Linked DNA regions of Drosophila melanogaster. Changing the gene in region 3 together with the main gene of any one other region gives a genetic interaction. Each region holds a gene or a part of one and is shown on either strand. Other genes may lie near its edges. The genes, in order: Rbfox1, fng and spdo.

Region 1 (4,951 bases), on a different chromosome or scaffold from region 3:
AAACAGTGCTTGAAGAACCTGCTGTGCTGGCATAAAAAAGTATGGTCACACGTGTGCGAAGCCCCCCCCCCCCTTGGCTTTTCGCCCAGCAGTTTGGCCTCGTTTTTAAATTGAAATCTCTGCAGCCAACACTGGACATTGCCTTCATTTCCCCGCGGACAGAGAAAGGGAGAGTTGTCCCTGCATTTCTCCCGTCCTTGCGGTGCTTTAAATAATTGCTTAGAAGCCGACGAGCAGACTCAGTGGTAACAATAATAACCGCCCAAGCACTCCGACTATGATAATAATAGCAAATAGAACCTGCCGCAGATGGAAATGCCACTCGGACAGACGCCGCTCCCCTTTCTCTTACTTTTCCACATAAGCCTTTGGCTTATGACCACACCCCCCCACTGCAAATGCATTTCACTTACTCTACACACACACACACACTCGTATAGTAGAGAAAGTAAGGGCCAGTGAGAGTTTGTGTGTTTATGCTCACTTTTAATGTGCCATATAAAATAATTTAATGACCGGCCAGAGACGAGGGTGTCTCCTGGTAATGAGAAAAGCGATTGGACAAAAACGGGTGGCTGTAAATGATAATAGTGGCATATTATGATGCAGATAGTCATGACAAATGGCTACGTCGAACTTTAATTGGTAAGCGGACTTGGACTGGATCGCCATATAGAAAAGCAATTATATCTGTAATTATAAACTTATCTATTTGCCATTAAGAATGGATTACAATGTTTGAATGCCATTTGTAAAGCCATAATATCTACAAAGTATAAGTAAACAAATTTACAAAAATGACTACAAAAAAAAAGTCTTAAAAAGTACTCAATACAATTTTCATGTAAATCAACCCTTTTCCATTTTCTCTTTCTCTCCTGCTGAATTTTAAATTGTTATTTTTAAATATTTTCGTTGGGCTTTTTCTTCGAGCTTAATCTGCGGAAAATTTTCCATCGGTTGCCTTAAGTCAACCCTAATTAGGTTATTCTTGGCAATCCCTTGCTCAATCCCCTTTTAAAGCGGCCTTAAAAAACGGAATTAATTTTCCGAAATTTATATTTTTCTTTTGATTTCTTTAGATTTTTGGTTTTGCTTTCGTTCTTCGTTCCCGATTTTCGTCCTTCCACTTTACTGTCCTGGTCATTTTCTACAAAATAGTTGCGCTTTATTTCCAGGCAACTTCGTCGCTCAAGTGACAGCTGTCCTCACCTCCACTTCCGCTAGAATGTCAATAAAAATTCAATTACGTTTTCCGCCAAAGAAAAGTTGCTGCTGAAAATACGTTTTCCTTATAGCCTTCTGTTTCCATTTAAAATTGCCTCTCTTTGTCGAACGGAATTTGTTTGCCAGCCTGATCGATTTGTGATGCTGGGCCGTGGAAATGTGGAAATCAGAGACTTGGGCACTTATACTTAATGGCCTAATTATGTAACCAAACGCCCACACACAAATAGGCTGAGTAAATAATCATAATAATCAGCATTTTGGCGGGGGAAAGAAGAAACCATAAACTTCTCGGGGTTCAAATAAAAATAAATTGTGCGACTAGGCTTGGGCAATTTGGCGGAAATGGTTTTCTGCCTTGAACACATATGTTTATAAGATTTATTCTGTTTTTCTGCTTATTTTTTGTGGTTAAATAGTTGGCCAAGTTTATGCTGATGATGCCGTAGGTCGTTGTGCATTAAACCAAATTTAATGTTACCTTTTATCAGGTGGCATTAAAGAGCTCTTTCACCAAAAATATACATTTTTCTCATCCCTCAAGTAAGCATCAAACTGTTATACTGACTGTAGTGTTATACGGCAAAGGCTGCTGCATACTTACAGGCTCTTTTGCGCAAAATTTCAGTCTCCCATTGCAAGTGCTCACGTGAGGACGGAAAACATTTTGCTCATCGCTTTCGCCTCGCGCATTGGCAAGTCGCGTAAAATTCTCGTGTTAACAGGAAAAACGTCACAAATTTTTCAAAACCACCCCAAGTCCCATTACCCGCAGTGGGAAAAACCTCAAATTCCTTGGGCTATCCGTATCAATCAACGACTAAAGGCTTAGTGTCCCTTTGTGATTGTGTGTGCTTTTTGTGTGTGCACTGTGTATTTCGTTGTGCTGCCGGCTTCAATTAGCAGCTTTTCCTCATTCTGCCCGCTGCTCTTGTGTGCGTTAGATTAATGAGGCAAAAGTGTTTTGTCGTGTCGTGCGTTAAATATTTAATACAATATCAAATAAATGTTGCATAAGCCGCCTGTCATTTAGCATCTAGTGCCAAAAGCAAAAAAAAAAAGAAAACACAAAAACGTGTGTTTGTTTCGTGTGTTTACCACAAGTAATTCGGACAGCAAACGGATTCTTTTTTCACGATTCACAAGAGCACGTCGATCAAGTAAGCCTTAGCTATTAAATATCACAGAAATAAAAATGTATCCCATTTAGCACATTAAGTTACCCATTTGAACAGCTTTTATTGGACTAGTCTTCCGCTGAGATATCTTGAGAATTTGCCCATTTCCCAAACGCATTTAAAACATTTTTATTGCCCATTTTTGCTTTATGTCCCGCATTAAAACATCTCCCGCTACGTAAAGATAATTTTGATTTGATATTCGTGTAATTTTTCCATTTGTTATTTGCCCGACTTCCATTGTTGATGGTCTGGCAGGGAATTTCGATTTGCGTTTACCCTTCATTTATTTTCAGCTGGAGATGCAAATAATGGTAGAAATGCCCGCAAAAATACTTTTACAGCAACAGGACTCCGGGGCCGATTTTCATTTCAAATTGCTCACATTAAGGGGCCACCCCCCCCCCCACCGGGCATCACAATCTCCCCCCTTTTATGGCACTCACATACCCTGTATCTGTGCATATATCCCCTTATTACCCAGCGCAGAGTACGAAATTAATTGTAACCAAACGTTTTGCTGCTTGCCGCAAACTTACTTTTATACTAGTTCATTTGCCACGCCCCTATCCCCCACGGAATGGACGCACAAAGACAACTAAAAGGGTATACACGCACAGCAACACTGAGAGAAATGGGTTCTGCATCGATAGTTATAGTTTTTAAGCCAAAATGTATGCTTATATTTTCTATTGCTTAATTTAAGACTTCTTTTTAGTGACTTTGAGCCTTTACTTTAAATAACTTTAAACTTTACTTTAAATAACAAAATCGAAGTTGTGACAACAGTTTTTCCTGCGTGAGCTTATACAAACACGTGCATGTACATGTGGAGCAAGAGGTAGCTAGCATCCCAACTAAGTAAATAATGCGTAAAACAAGTCAAGCGTTTTACAAACTCACCCATTTCGCCATCCCGTTTCCCCGTTAAACAAAGGGGGTTTCCACTGCAAAACGGGGAGTTTCCCCCATTTAGAAACAGCAGAAACAGTCAATTGTAAAATTGCTGCAGCCAACAAAGCGTGGCAAGGAAGCTAAGCGAGTGGCTCAGACTGTTTCCATAGGTAGTTGTTGCCCGATGTTGATGACGGCTAGGATTGCCGGATTCCCGGCACAAGAATCTCCACCGTATGTAATTCATTATTATGCTGACTGAGGCTGGAAGGCACTGACGGTAGAAGCCAGAAGCAGGAAAAAATATTTGCGCACATGTGGCTAGAGTTTCCATCACTTCAGCGTGCTGCTGTTATTCTTGTTAAGGCTAAAATTGTCTGTCACTTTGAGACTTCCGTCATCTGCAGGATAAAAGCTGTGGGCGAAAATATGCGAGCGAAAAATGAGACTCCACATTTTGGTTGTATGCTAAATACTTCACGGTCCACGGTCCTGTTTATGCAACAAGGATGTCTTTGAAAATATCAACGTTGGTTCGCAAAAAAGGATACCTATTGTATATATCGGGCTTAGAAAAATAGGGGATTTTAATACTAAAAAGTTTTAAAAAACTTAAAACTTTCGTGACATGTGAAGATGGCTCTCATTTATCAACGCTACAAAAGTAGCTCAAAATGGCCCTTTTGAAAATATAAGGACATGAAAACGATCAAATATACCACCTGTGTCGCAGTCAAAATGTAACAACAATTGAGAACAATAAACAAATGGCACACAAAATCAAAGTTTGGTTCGCTTATCTTTGTTTGACTTCTCTTCACTTTGACCCACCAAAAAGTTTTTATTTTTTTATAATGTCCTCGAAAAATGAGCGCCATAAATCATGGGGCGTAAATATGCCACCCCCATTTATCTCGTCTAACAAAGGGAAAACTTGCACCGTAAATTTGTATAAGCAGCAATTACTTAAAAAACTCCGAACCTTGACTTGTTTAGCCAACCAATGAAAAACTCTATTGTCAACTACAATATTTTTCCACAGCTCCATTTGCAGTTATTTACATGAGCAGATCCACATTTTTGGGTGGCAGATGGGTGCTGTGCCTGATATTTTTTTTTATGCTTACTTGCGACATCGCATTTTTGCACAAGACTTCTAAACTATATTTCGGACAATATGCAACATGATATTTTTCATGCTTATTCAACAGAAAAAAAATGAGAAGAGATTGCACATACGTTCCTCACAGAATTTCAATAAAATAGAGTAGGAATTTATGTGCACGATATGTTTCCGAGATTCTATGAGCATGTAATTTGTGGGTATTTCTGTCACAGTTTATATGTACAAAAATGTGCATTGCAGTATGCAGAGATCTAATGCTTTCCTTTTTTTTATTACTCAACTCATTTTGAAACTAGCCTTTTTAAATGAAATTGCCAAGCAGTATATACTTATATTATTGAATATTGATTTATTTAATTATTATTTGAAATGAAAAGTATTTTATTCCTTCCATTTTGTAACCCCTTTTCATATCCTTGCAAATAATTTGTCTTATTATGCTCCCCACTTTCGGGCATCATCCATCTTAATCGCTTTGACTTCTTTGGGTGGTTTTTCCTCTCATTTTTCTTCTTTTCCCTTTTCT
Region 2 (5,074 bases), on a different chromosome or scaffold from region 3:
GCTCAATTAAGCGACCACCAAAAGATACCCAGATACCCAGATATGGGTATCTTTTACTCGGTTGCCCAGCTGCAGATACTACTCCTTTTATCAGGCGCCTTCCGCGGCTTAATGTCGTCAACTTTTTCGGGCTGATTACGTGAGCGGCGGGCAGAAGGAGGGCTTTGTGGATCGAGGGGCCACGGAAAGGTAGCTGCAACCAGCTGCATTAAGTTGGCCATGGGAAGTGAAGAGCAAGCACCTGCTTTTGGCCTGGCCAAAAACAGGAATCACATCATCATCATCATCATCATCGTGGTCTTTGTCTCTCGGGCTGCCTCGAAGGCTTCTTGTGGCTGTTGCTTTCCTCAAGCTGATTTGCATGCTCCTCAGCTTAGGAGTTTGTTAATGTTATTATGTATTTACCATGCACTCGTCAAAAATATTTGAAAGTCCATACTGGAAAATAAATTCGGATATCTTAGAAGAAGAATTAGATGTCATTACAGAAAAAATCTATATTGTGCACGTTCATAAATGCACGTAAGTAATCTACTATCCATATCGATGTGTCATCGGTAAGCTGATCACAGTGTAGCCACAACAAACTACTCAAATCAATCAGCGACTGGTGGCCATTTGGCGCGCCACTTTAAAGAAATTCATAAACAAGCAAATCGTTTGACGATTATTATTCATTTCGTTTCATTTATGATTTATGCGTCAGCAACACGCGACATGCCAACCTGGCGACCTGGCGACGTGAGCTGCAACTGGACATGAGACATCAGATACTGGGAATCTTGGATAGGCAGGGTTGTGGGGCTGATGGAGACCCCCATGACAATACCCCCGCCCCGCCCCCGCCCGATTTCGAAATTATTGCTTTATCAGGCGAATGCCAAGCCCAGTTTAGCGCGAGTATGTGTCCAGTCGACTGTTTAGCTGTTCAACAGTTCGAAGAATCGAGCCAAGCCAAGTCATGTCAAGTCAACAAGCAGCACTTTTTGCGCAACATTTAGGAACAAAAAGAGAACACTCATATACGAAGTACGAAAAGAATTAAGCAAATTGTACGCGGCATGCAGTTTTTAAACTGGGACAAGTCACAGACCTCCGATGGAACAGAACTTCAATTGAAAAGACAAACAACAGTACAGCAGTTGTCGACAGTTTTTTATCCGGCTCAGTATTTAGTAGTGCGATGTGTGTGTAGCACTAATTCCTGCCAAGTTTCCGGTTAGCCCCAGAACACAAAAATAAAAAAAAGAGTAGAGCAACTGGAAGAGCCACAACGTCAACAGCATTGTCCGAATTAAAACAACATAAAGTTTTTAATTACACTAGCAGCAGCATGCGAAAACATTACAGGGGAGCCTCCACAAACTCGCCTCGAAGCCTCGAAGTTGGGCAATTGAGTTGCAAATTGAGAAGCCGGAAGGTGGTGAAGGGCAAGGGGATTACATGGATATTTTTGAGGATGCTGCAGCTGATTCAATTATGAGCTCTTAACTCTATTGCCAGCGGCTCGAATCACTAATATTATGAAATTTGTAAGCCTTAGTTAGGGAGCTGTAACAGTTGAAGGTATAACTACAGCAGTAGGGTTCATTTAACAAAAATCGAACTATATAAAGAAATGTTGGAAGAAAACTTTGAGGAATCTGTATATGCAACTGATTAAAAATATGTGCACTATTTTCTTATGGCGTCGTTTCATTTAAAGTTTTTAAAATATGATAATCCTAGAAGGTGGACACATAGTTCGAATTTCAAGGGTTCTAAAAATAGCCTGTTCGCATAAAACCCTGCCAAAAAGTGTTTGCAATGCAATAGGAGGCTAACTAAGGCCATTCCCACGGACCTCAACTATTTGTTATCTGTGATGCAACTGACAAGGTTTTCCACTGGACGAGTCCATTGAGATTCACCTCCATGAGATCCCCCCTCGCAGCGCACACCTTGGTAATATTAGCACACAATATTTTATTACACAAAAATTTATGCAAAAATCAAGAGTAAGAAGAGAACAATAATAAATGGGCAGAGCAGACAGGGCTCAGAACCCTGACAGGCCCTGGAATCAGGCAACTGAAAGCTTTGGCGACGCTCTGCCGACGGCAAACCAAGAAATTCAGGAACGGTTGACTGGATCTTCGGTAATCGAAACTGGGAATACTCTTGTGGGAATTGGAAAGTATTGGTGATTTTCAAAAATATATTCCAAGTGCCTAATGGTATGATTTTAGGATTTTAATAATGTCTCGATAATGCGAGCCGATCTTTGAACATCAACTTTAACAGAATTACATTCTCTTGTCCTTAAATCAATCAAATATAAGCTTAATTGTAAAAAAAAAAAACAAATAAATTCAGGATCATATTTCCATTTTTGAAACAAACCACTAAGCTAGGCACTACCTCTACATAAACTTCTGCACAATTTCTAAAGCAATCAAGTCCTTAGTTCCAAATGAATTCCCCGTGATACCGATCCCCATCCAATCACCAATCGTAGGGTATATCCTTTTAAAACGCTTCCTCGCCGAAATTTGTGTTCAATTATGATACCCCCTATTAGGGTATAAAAGCGCAAAAAGCCAAGCACCGAAACTGTTTTATATGCAAGGCAAGGGCGTAAAAGGTTTTTTTAACGGCCAAAGCCGCAGCTGCAAAACTCAAGTCGCCGGCGTTGATTTATGAAAGTGCACGAGTCGACGTCGATCGGGATCGGAATCAAAGGGGGATAATGCAAATTGCCTGGCCTTTGCAGCTTTGCAACTTATGCAGATCAGTGCGGAGCACACACGTTTGACAGTTTCGCAGCGCTAACAACACCCACGCAAGCTGGATTATGTCGCCCACTCGAACTCGCAACTCACTTGGATGCCCGGATATCCGTAGGCGCTCTGGTAGAGCAGTAGGGTCATATAGACGACGGCGACGGCTAACATCATGGCTTGCAGGATTCGCTTAAAACGTTGCGGTGGCGAGAGCACAGTCAGGCTCATCATACGGTTACGGACCACTACGCGCACATTGAAGCACCGCCGATTTGATCACTGGGTAGGTTTTATATTCCAATATTAGCTGGTTCTTTTCCTGGATCGTATGAATTCTGCTCGATTTCTGAAATTACGATATCTTTTAAGTTTATTTCGATTTCGATATCGCAGCACGCGCGCACTGACGTCTTGCTTGTGGCAAGCTTGAAAAGCAACTGATTGTGGTAGCGCGATCTACTCTTCTCTTCTTCCAGCGAAAATCGTAAACAAAACAAAAACCAGAAAGACCAGTAAGCGGTGAGAGTAGCGAGAGAGAAAGAGAGAGAGAGAATTCCCTTTGAGCTGGTCCAATTGGAAACGTTAGCTGCTCCAATGGGAGCAGCTGGCGCTCTCTCTTCGATCGCGCTCGCTCTCATCCTCTCTCTTTAGCTTGTGCCACAGTAGCTGCCGAAGGCAATTTTCATGTGCTCGTGTGTCGACCCCCACTCAGCCCACTTCTGATCGGAATCGGGGATTCGGAATCGTGTAAGGCAGCCTTTGAAGGTCCCTTTTCCAGGTGGCGGCCGTATCCTTAAAGTAAACATAGTTCAACTGACTTGGCAGCGCTCCAAATGCGGTGACTTCTTGGCTATGTCATATATACCCCCACTCCCCTCCTGACTACCCTGCCACGCCCCACCGCCCACCGTCGGCGACGACAATTCCATTAAAAGTTGTACGTTGTCACTTTGCGTTAACTTATCTGTGGAGCATGTTGTGCGATCGCATTTTTATTGTCGCCATTGTCTCTCGCTCTCTCCATCGCTCTTTCGCCTGGCTTCCCTACCCTGCCCACACAGGGAAGCCTACACACTCTTAAATCATGCACTTGGAACAAAAAGTGCAAGCATTAAACTTTATTTAAACATTCAAGAGCCGCTCCTCTATTTACCATTGAAATTTTATTTCAAATAGAGAGGTCTTTTCAGATTATATTATACCTTTAAGTGGCTTAGAAATAGTTAGACAGTGTATTTATGGATAAGTAATTAATTTAACTAAAAAATACAAACAGAAGAATTCTTTTACAATAATTTCAAACTACTAATTTCTACATCCCTTTCTCGCTCCGTGCATCAAATGCATCCACATCTCACGTGCGTCGGCAGCGTTCTGCGACGTTTCTTTGTCGCTCGGTTTTTGTGTAGCACTTGGCCTGCTCCCCACTTGACAATGCTTTGCATGCCAGGCACCATCCAGCAGTATCTTCCCGTTCCTCCTCCTCTTGCTGCTCTCAGCCCATTCAGCTCGATCCCATTCCATCCCAATCCGAATCCCATCCTACTCCTCACCAGCTTGTCATATTCCATGTTTGTGGCGGCGACAAAAGCTTTTGCGGACACCTCTGCCCGCGTCGACTGCGCTGCCCGCACAATCAGCAACTCGGCATCTTGTTCGCTGTCCCTTTGTGCGCCTTTCGCCTGAATTGCATTAAGCAGAGTCGGCGGAGCACTGCAAGAAAATAGTGAATTCGTATTTAATTCGGTAAGAGAACAGCATAAAAATGTAAACTTTTATCGCCTTGTGTCAGCTGAAAAATCTATCCAACCCTTAATAGTTTAATGTTTTAGATTATTTAAGACTGAGCCCTTTAAATACAAAAGCTTAGCATAAATTTAGAACCATCGACAATTACCCAGGGGCTTTAAAACTGTTTAACTTAAGTGGCCATTGTGTGTACCCAAATGAGCAAGCAAAATCAATTGGCCTTCACAGTGTTTTAATTATTTTTATTAGTTTATTATTATGTCAGTATGATTTTTCTACCGGTGCAGAGACGGTGGTAGCGGCGACGCAGGCCATTCCAACCTTGTTCTGCCACAGAAAAAGACATCGCTCGGCTGGAATCAGCCGCCCGCTTGCCACGAAACCCTCGGAACCCACTTCCCATTCCTCCGTATTCCGCCCACTCCCATTGCTCATTTTTAATGTGCAATTCCGTATGTACAGTTCGTAGCCATGGCCACCATTCCGCTCCGTATAAGTGTGTGTGTGTGTGTGTGTTTGCATAGCAGCTTGGTTGCCGGTTAGGCATGTGCCACCTCCAGCTG
Region 3 (4,936 bases):
AGTCGCTTGCATTCTGGTAATTACTTTTGCCACGTGCGAGGGCAGCTGTTGCACGCACCTATGCTGTTTTACTACAACTGAGTGTGTATCTGTATCTGTAAATGTATCTGAGGAGGCGCCCCTCACACACATGACTGCAGATACATATCTCTTGCTTATATGCGAAGGGGATCTATGTGGCGTATATATATGACAACTGGCAGCGGAAATAATATGGGGGAGAGAGCAGGGTGCAGGATGCGGTGAGACAACTCCCCTAATCAAATAATGCCAGTCGCACTCAGGACTCAGGATTCAGGATCTATCTTTGCGGCTGTTTCTCTGCTGTTCAGTTCAGTTGAGTTTAGTTGAGTTTCTGTTCCTGCATTTGTACCTTGGTTGTGTCACAACAAAGGACGAGACAGGATCCTCGCAAACAGCTGACAGCTGTGTGCCTGCCGTCTCTGTCTGTTATCCTTGTGCGCTGTCATTGCCCCTGCCTTTGAGTATCTGCATCCGAGTATCCTTCGGATACTGTGCAGAAACCCCGCACTCTAGTCGCGTGCCGTCTGCCGGCGTTTAACTTTATATGCATCTTAAATTTTCCCACCGACCAGCTGTTGGTGCCTCCAATTTCTGGCTAATCCGCTTGACAAATGCCCCCGGCTGCGCTGATTTGCTTCTGGCCAAAAGGCAATTAAGTTGGCCACCACAAAAGGACAACACGCGTGCATCCAACCTGCGGGCTCAAAGGCATGTACATATGTATGCACGTGGGAGGCGAAATCCGGATAAAGTTGACCCACGAACTCTTCGTTTTTTATCGTTTTTCTCTGACAACCAAATGTAACGGTCGCTTGGGCAACAAAAATCCGGGGAGGGCTGCCTTTAGGGAAGGTTTTTGGTCTGCACAAACATCAGAGCTGAGCAAGGATTATTTTTAAGAAGCAAGCGCGACTGAAGGGTACCCCTTAAAATAAATAAGCGAAGTGAAATAATTTAATCTCTTAAGTTCTTTTGTTTCATTTCTTTCTGACTGAAGCTAAGCTCTACTTTATGGCTTGACGCTTTTACGTCAGAAATATGTGCATATTAAACTAAACTGTTTTGTGAAAGCATTCATTAAAAGTTTGTTTTAATGGTGCCGATATACGGATGCTAACCATATATAATAAAAGCACGATATGTTTTCAACAAACAATAAACTATTTTAAATATTTCGGTCGAGAAACAAAGCAGCGGATGAACAAAAGGAACAAGAACAACTAGTTCTTATATGATTATAATAAAGAAAAAACACTTTTATGATAGTTAAATTATGTTGAATTCTCGGTGATGACAGTGTGCTGATATGATCTGCTCTACACTGGTTATGTTCGAGTATAATCTTAGGTGGATTTAAAACACATTCATCATACCCCTCAACTCGCCAACTAAGTGGTAGCAAAACAGAATTAAAGTCGCAAGGGAGCGCATATGAGTTGGTAAATAAGAATTAAAAACGCCGATAAACGCGAACCGAATAAAACGCCGGCTGCTCCTGCAATTCGCCAGGGGTTTTTAGGTTTTGGTTAGGATCGCGTTGAGACGTCTCAGTTGGAAGTGAAATGCGTTTCAACCCCCGTTCGTTCGTCGAGCAGCAGGAGCAGATGTTTCTGGGTTTTCACATTCGGTTCGGTTCCAATGGCCTAATGGAACGCGCCAAACACAGTCGGTCATTGTACGGGTGTACGGGTGTCTTATGTACAAGTAAATGGTGTTTTATGGGGTGGGGACTCGTATCGGAGCACGATCCACTCGACTGCGCGCCGGCGCAGGAAGTGGAGGAAGTTGAGGAGCTGCCGTCTGGAACGGCTCTCTAGATCAGTCGAGTCGCAGTTGCCGAGGCGAGCGGATCGTGAACAGTGCTACGAACCCAAAGAAAACCCAAAGTAGTGAAAGAACACCCCTAAGAGGTTGTGGAATTGCCACCAGTACAGTGCCAACATGTCGCAGCATAACTATACGAACCCGGCCTTCTGCCAGAACAGCGAGTATTACCCGGTGCCCAGCGGCAACTCGTCGCGAGTGGAGTCCATCTACAACAGAAGCCTCCAGATGAACTTTGGAGCGGCTCCTCCGCGCGCCACTCGAGATCCCCGCGAGGGTCCACTGCGAATGCAGCGTAGCATGTCCACGCGATCGGTGACGCGGAAACAACACCAGCAGCAGCAGCAGCAGCAACACCAACAGCAGATACACCAGCAACACCTGGCTCAGCAGCAGCAACACCAGCCGCAATCCTCTAGTGGTCGCTATGCCTTGGTTCCCCTAGAGGAACTGAACAGCAGTAGGGCCAGTAGATACGCCATAGTTCCAGGACAGGCGGCACAGAGACTGGCCCGATCACAGGATAATCTGGATCGCTATGGCTCCAGACATGGATTGCACGAAGAGGAGGAGCCTCACTCCTTCCACGAGGAACCCCATCAGGAGACCCAGTTTGCCAGCTTGCCACCGATACTTAATTTGCCGCCCAAGCCCAGGAATATTAACAACAATACCAATGCCAATCAAACCCAGATTAAGCATGCTTTTAGTAGCGACTTCGGCAGCAAGACCTTCTTGATAGTGGATAAGAATAGCAACCAGAGGTACCAGATGGTGCCCACCGCCGAGGACGAGGAGCTGGTAGACGAGAACCAGGAGATCATACAGATGCACAATGGCCGCGCCCATCGATATGCAGTGGTGCCCACGGATGCGGACGACGATGATCTGGCGGAGGAGCAGGAGCAGCAGGAAACCTGCCTGAGCAACATGGAATTGAGCAGGCAGTACGCAGCGAGGACCTCAACGCCGCAGCAAAAGAATGCGGCTGCCGCTACGAGGGCCCTGCACGAGCTCCTGACCACGCCCAGGAAGATGCAGCCGCCTCCGCGATTGGCGCACTCAACGCCCCGGAACGCCGCCCACCACGAGCAGCTGCAGCTGGAAAGGCGCTTGGAGATCTACAAAAGCCAACAGATCTACCAAAGCCAACAAGTTGGAGCGGTAGTAGGAGTCCCTCCAACCTTGCCACTTCGCCAGAATCGACTCTCCCCCCAGAGACTTCACTACGAGACCGTGAAGCCGCTTCCCATGCAGATCGCCGATCGATCCATGGCCGTCATCAGTCCCAGGGTCCAGGAGCAGGGGCAGGAGCAGGAACGGGAACAGGACATGAGCAGCATCCAGGGAAAGGGCAAGAAAAACAGCTCCTATCCGCAGAAGATGGCCAATGCCACCATTACCTTGGCCGTTGTCTCCCTGATGCTCGTCTTGGGCAGCACCATGAATGCGGGGCTCATCATCTACATGATAGCACACGTAAGTACTCTCAAATACTTTTAAAGATATTCATTTTGTCCATGGAAACATTTGAATAACACTTTTTCTTCGCCTACAGCTCGGAAAGTCCTTTTACCTGCAGTTTAGCCTGGTGGCCTCCTTCTCCGGAATGGGACTCGGCTTCCTGGGATTCAAGTCGCGCCACTGCGAGTGGCTGCCGAACAGGAGCTATAGTTCCGGCTATATCCTGGTCACCGTATTTTGCCTATTCAAGTCCTGCGGATTGCTTGTGATACTCGTGGTGGACCCCTTCCCCGGATTTCCTGTCCACGATGTGACCACTGGCGTCATCCTTGGACTGTCGACTTTCACCATGTTCTTCATCGGATTGGGAGTGCTGGGCAGCTTGTGGTGCCACCGACCTCCGCCAGACAACCGCGTCAACGTGGTCTAATACCCTGGAAATAGTTAATCCTAGACTCTAATTAGTTGTACACCATCCACTTCGAATTCAAGAACTTGACACACCGAACGGCTAAAAGACCAAAAACAAGAATTAGATTTATAATCAGCGGAAGATCATCATCCCCCAAACGACTGTATATAACAAGTGGGTTGTACCTATTGCTAACACTTAGTTTGCTTAACTTATTGTTCACCTAAGTATAAGTATGTTATGGAATAAGAATAAAATAAAGGCACGTAGATACCAGCACAGCATTTTGTATCAATAAGGAAATGGTTAAAGTGTTCAATTAGGTTAGTTCTTTAACAATCAAAAATATATATATGGTGAATAAACACTTTCAAATATAGGTCGAGTGTTAAAATTATAGATTCAGCGTCGTGATACTTAACTTAATTGAGTAAACAATTATTTTTCAGCTTTCAGCACCTTTTAACTATTGAAATACGGTGCATATTTTAAAGCAATGTGTTTTGCTCTTCTGTCTACTAAGTTTTGCCCTCTCTTTAAATTGCAGCAAAATGGACGAGTACCAGAGGGAGCACTCGGATGCCTCCCATGATATAACCGCCTATGTATCCAATCCAATCAATGCGTACCTGCTGACTAAGCGGCTAACCACCGATTGGCGTCAGGTGGAGAACCTCATGGAGCACGACGTGGGCACGGATTTCCTGCAGAACATCACCCAGTATCGCAGCCTCCTGAAGTTCCCCTCCGACGAGGACCTCAATGGCGCGGCGGTGGCCTTGCTCCGCCTGCAAGACACCTACCAACTGGACACTTCGAGTGTGGCGAGGGGCAAGCTGAATGGCATTCAGTACAGGTAAGTTTTTGTCCAACTAAATGCATGCGAGAAGTAAGGAAGTAAGCTAGAGCTATACAAAGCTGAGCACAGTCATCGATTTTCTGGTTACCAAAAAAATAAACTTCTCGAAGTGGAGCGGCCAAGTCCCTGGGATACTCACTGACCAAATTTATTATCCCGCAGCACGGAAATGTCCTCGGATGACTGCTTCGAGTTGGGTAGACAATCGTACGTGAACCACGACTACTACCACACGGTGCTCTGGATGAACGAGGCGATGGCCCGCATGCTGGAGGAGCCGACCAACCACACCCAGAGCTTCACCAAGGCCGACATCCTCGAGTACCTGGCCTTCTCCACCTACAAGGAGGGTG

The links.
Region 1: of spdo (region 3) and Rbfox1, changing one enhances a phenotype caused by changing the other (phenotypic enhancement), as found in Drosophila melanogaster (one study listed by BioGRID).
Region 2: of spdo (region 3) and fng, changing one suppresses a phenotype caused by changing the other (phenotypic suppression), as found in Drosophila melanogaster (one study listed by BioGRID).

What each region holds. Positions count from the first base shown.
Region 1 is NT_037436.4:10,479,559-10,484,509, forward strand, and holds the start of Rbfox1 (RNA-binding Fox protein 1), read left to right. Parts: upstream 1-1,853; 5' UTR 1,854-2,387; intron 2,388-4,951.
Region 2 is NT_037436.4:20,946,309-20,951,382, forward strand, and holds the start of fng (fringe), read right to left. Parts: upstream 3,205-5,074; 5' UTR 2,994-3,204; coding exon 2,862-2,993; intron 1-2,861. UniProt on the Drosophila melanogaster protein: Glycosyltransferase involved in the elongation of O-linked ligands to activate Notch signaling. Possesses fucose-specific beta-1,3-N-acetylglucosaminyltransferase activity; extends the O-linked fucose on the Notch EGF repeats.
Region 3 is NT_033777.3:30,474,848-30,479,783, forward strand, and holds spdo (sanpodo), read left to right. Parts: upstream 1-1,836; 5' UTR 1,837-1,965; coding exon 1,966-3,327; intron 3,328-3,406; coding exon 3,407-3,742; 3' UTR 3,743-4,002; downstream 4,003-4,936. Other genes in the region: PH4alphaEFB (prolyl-4-hydroxylase-alpha EFB), read left to right, coding at 4,272-4,580, 4,746-4,933.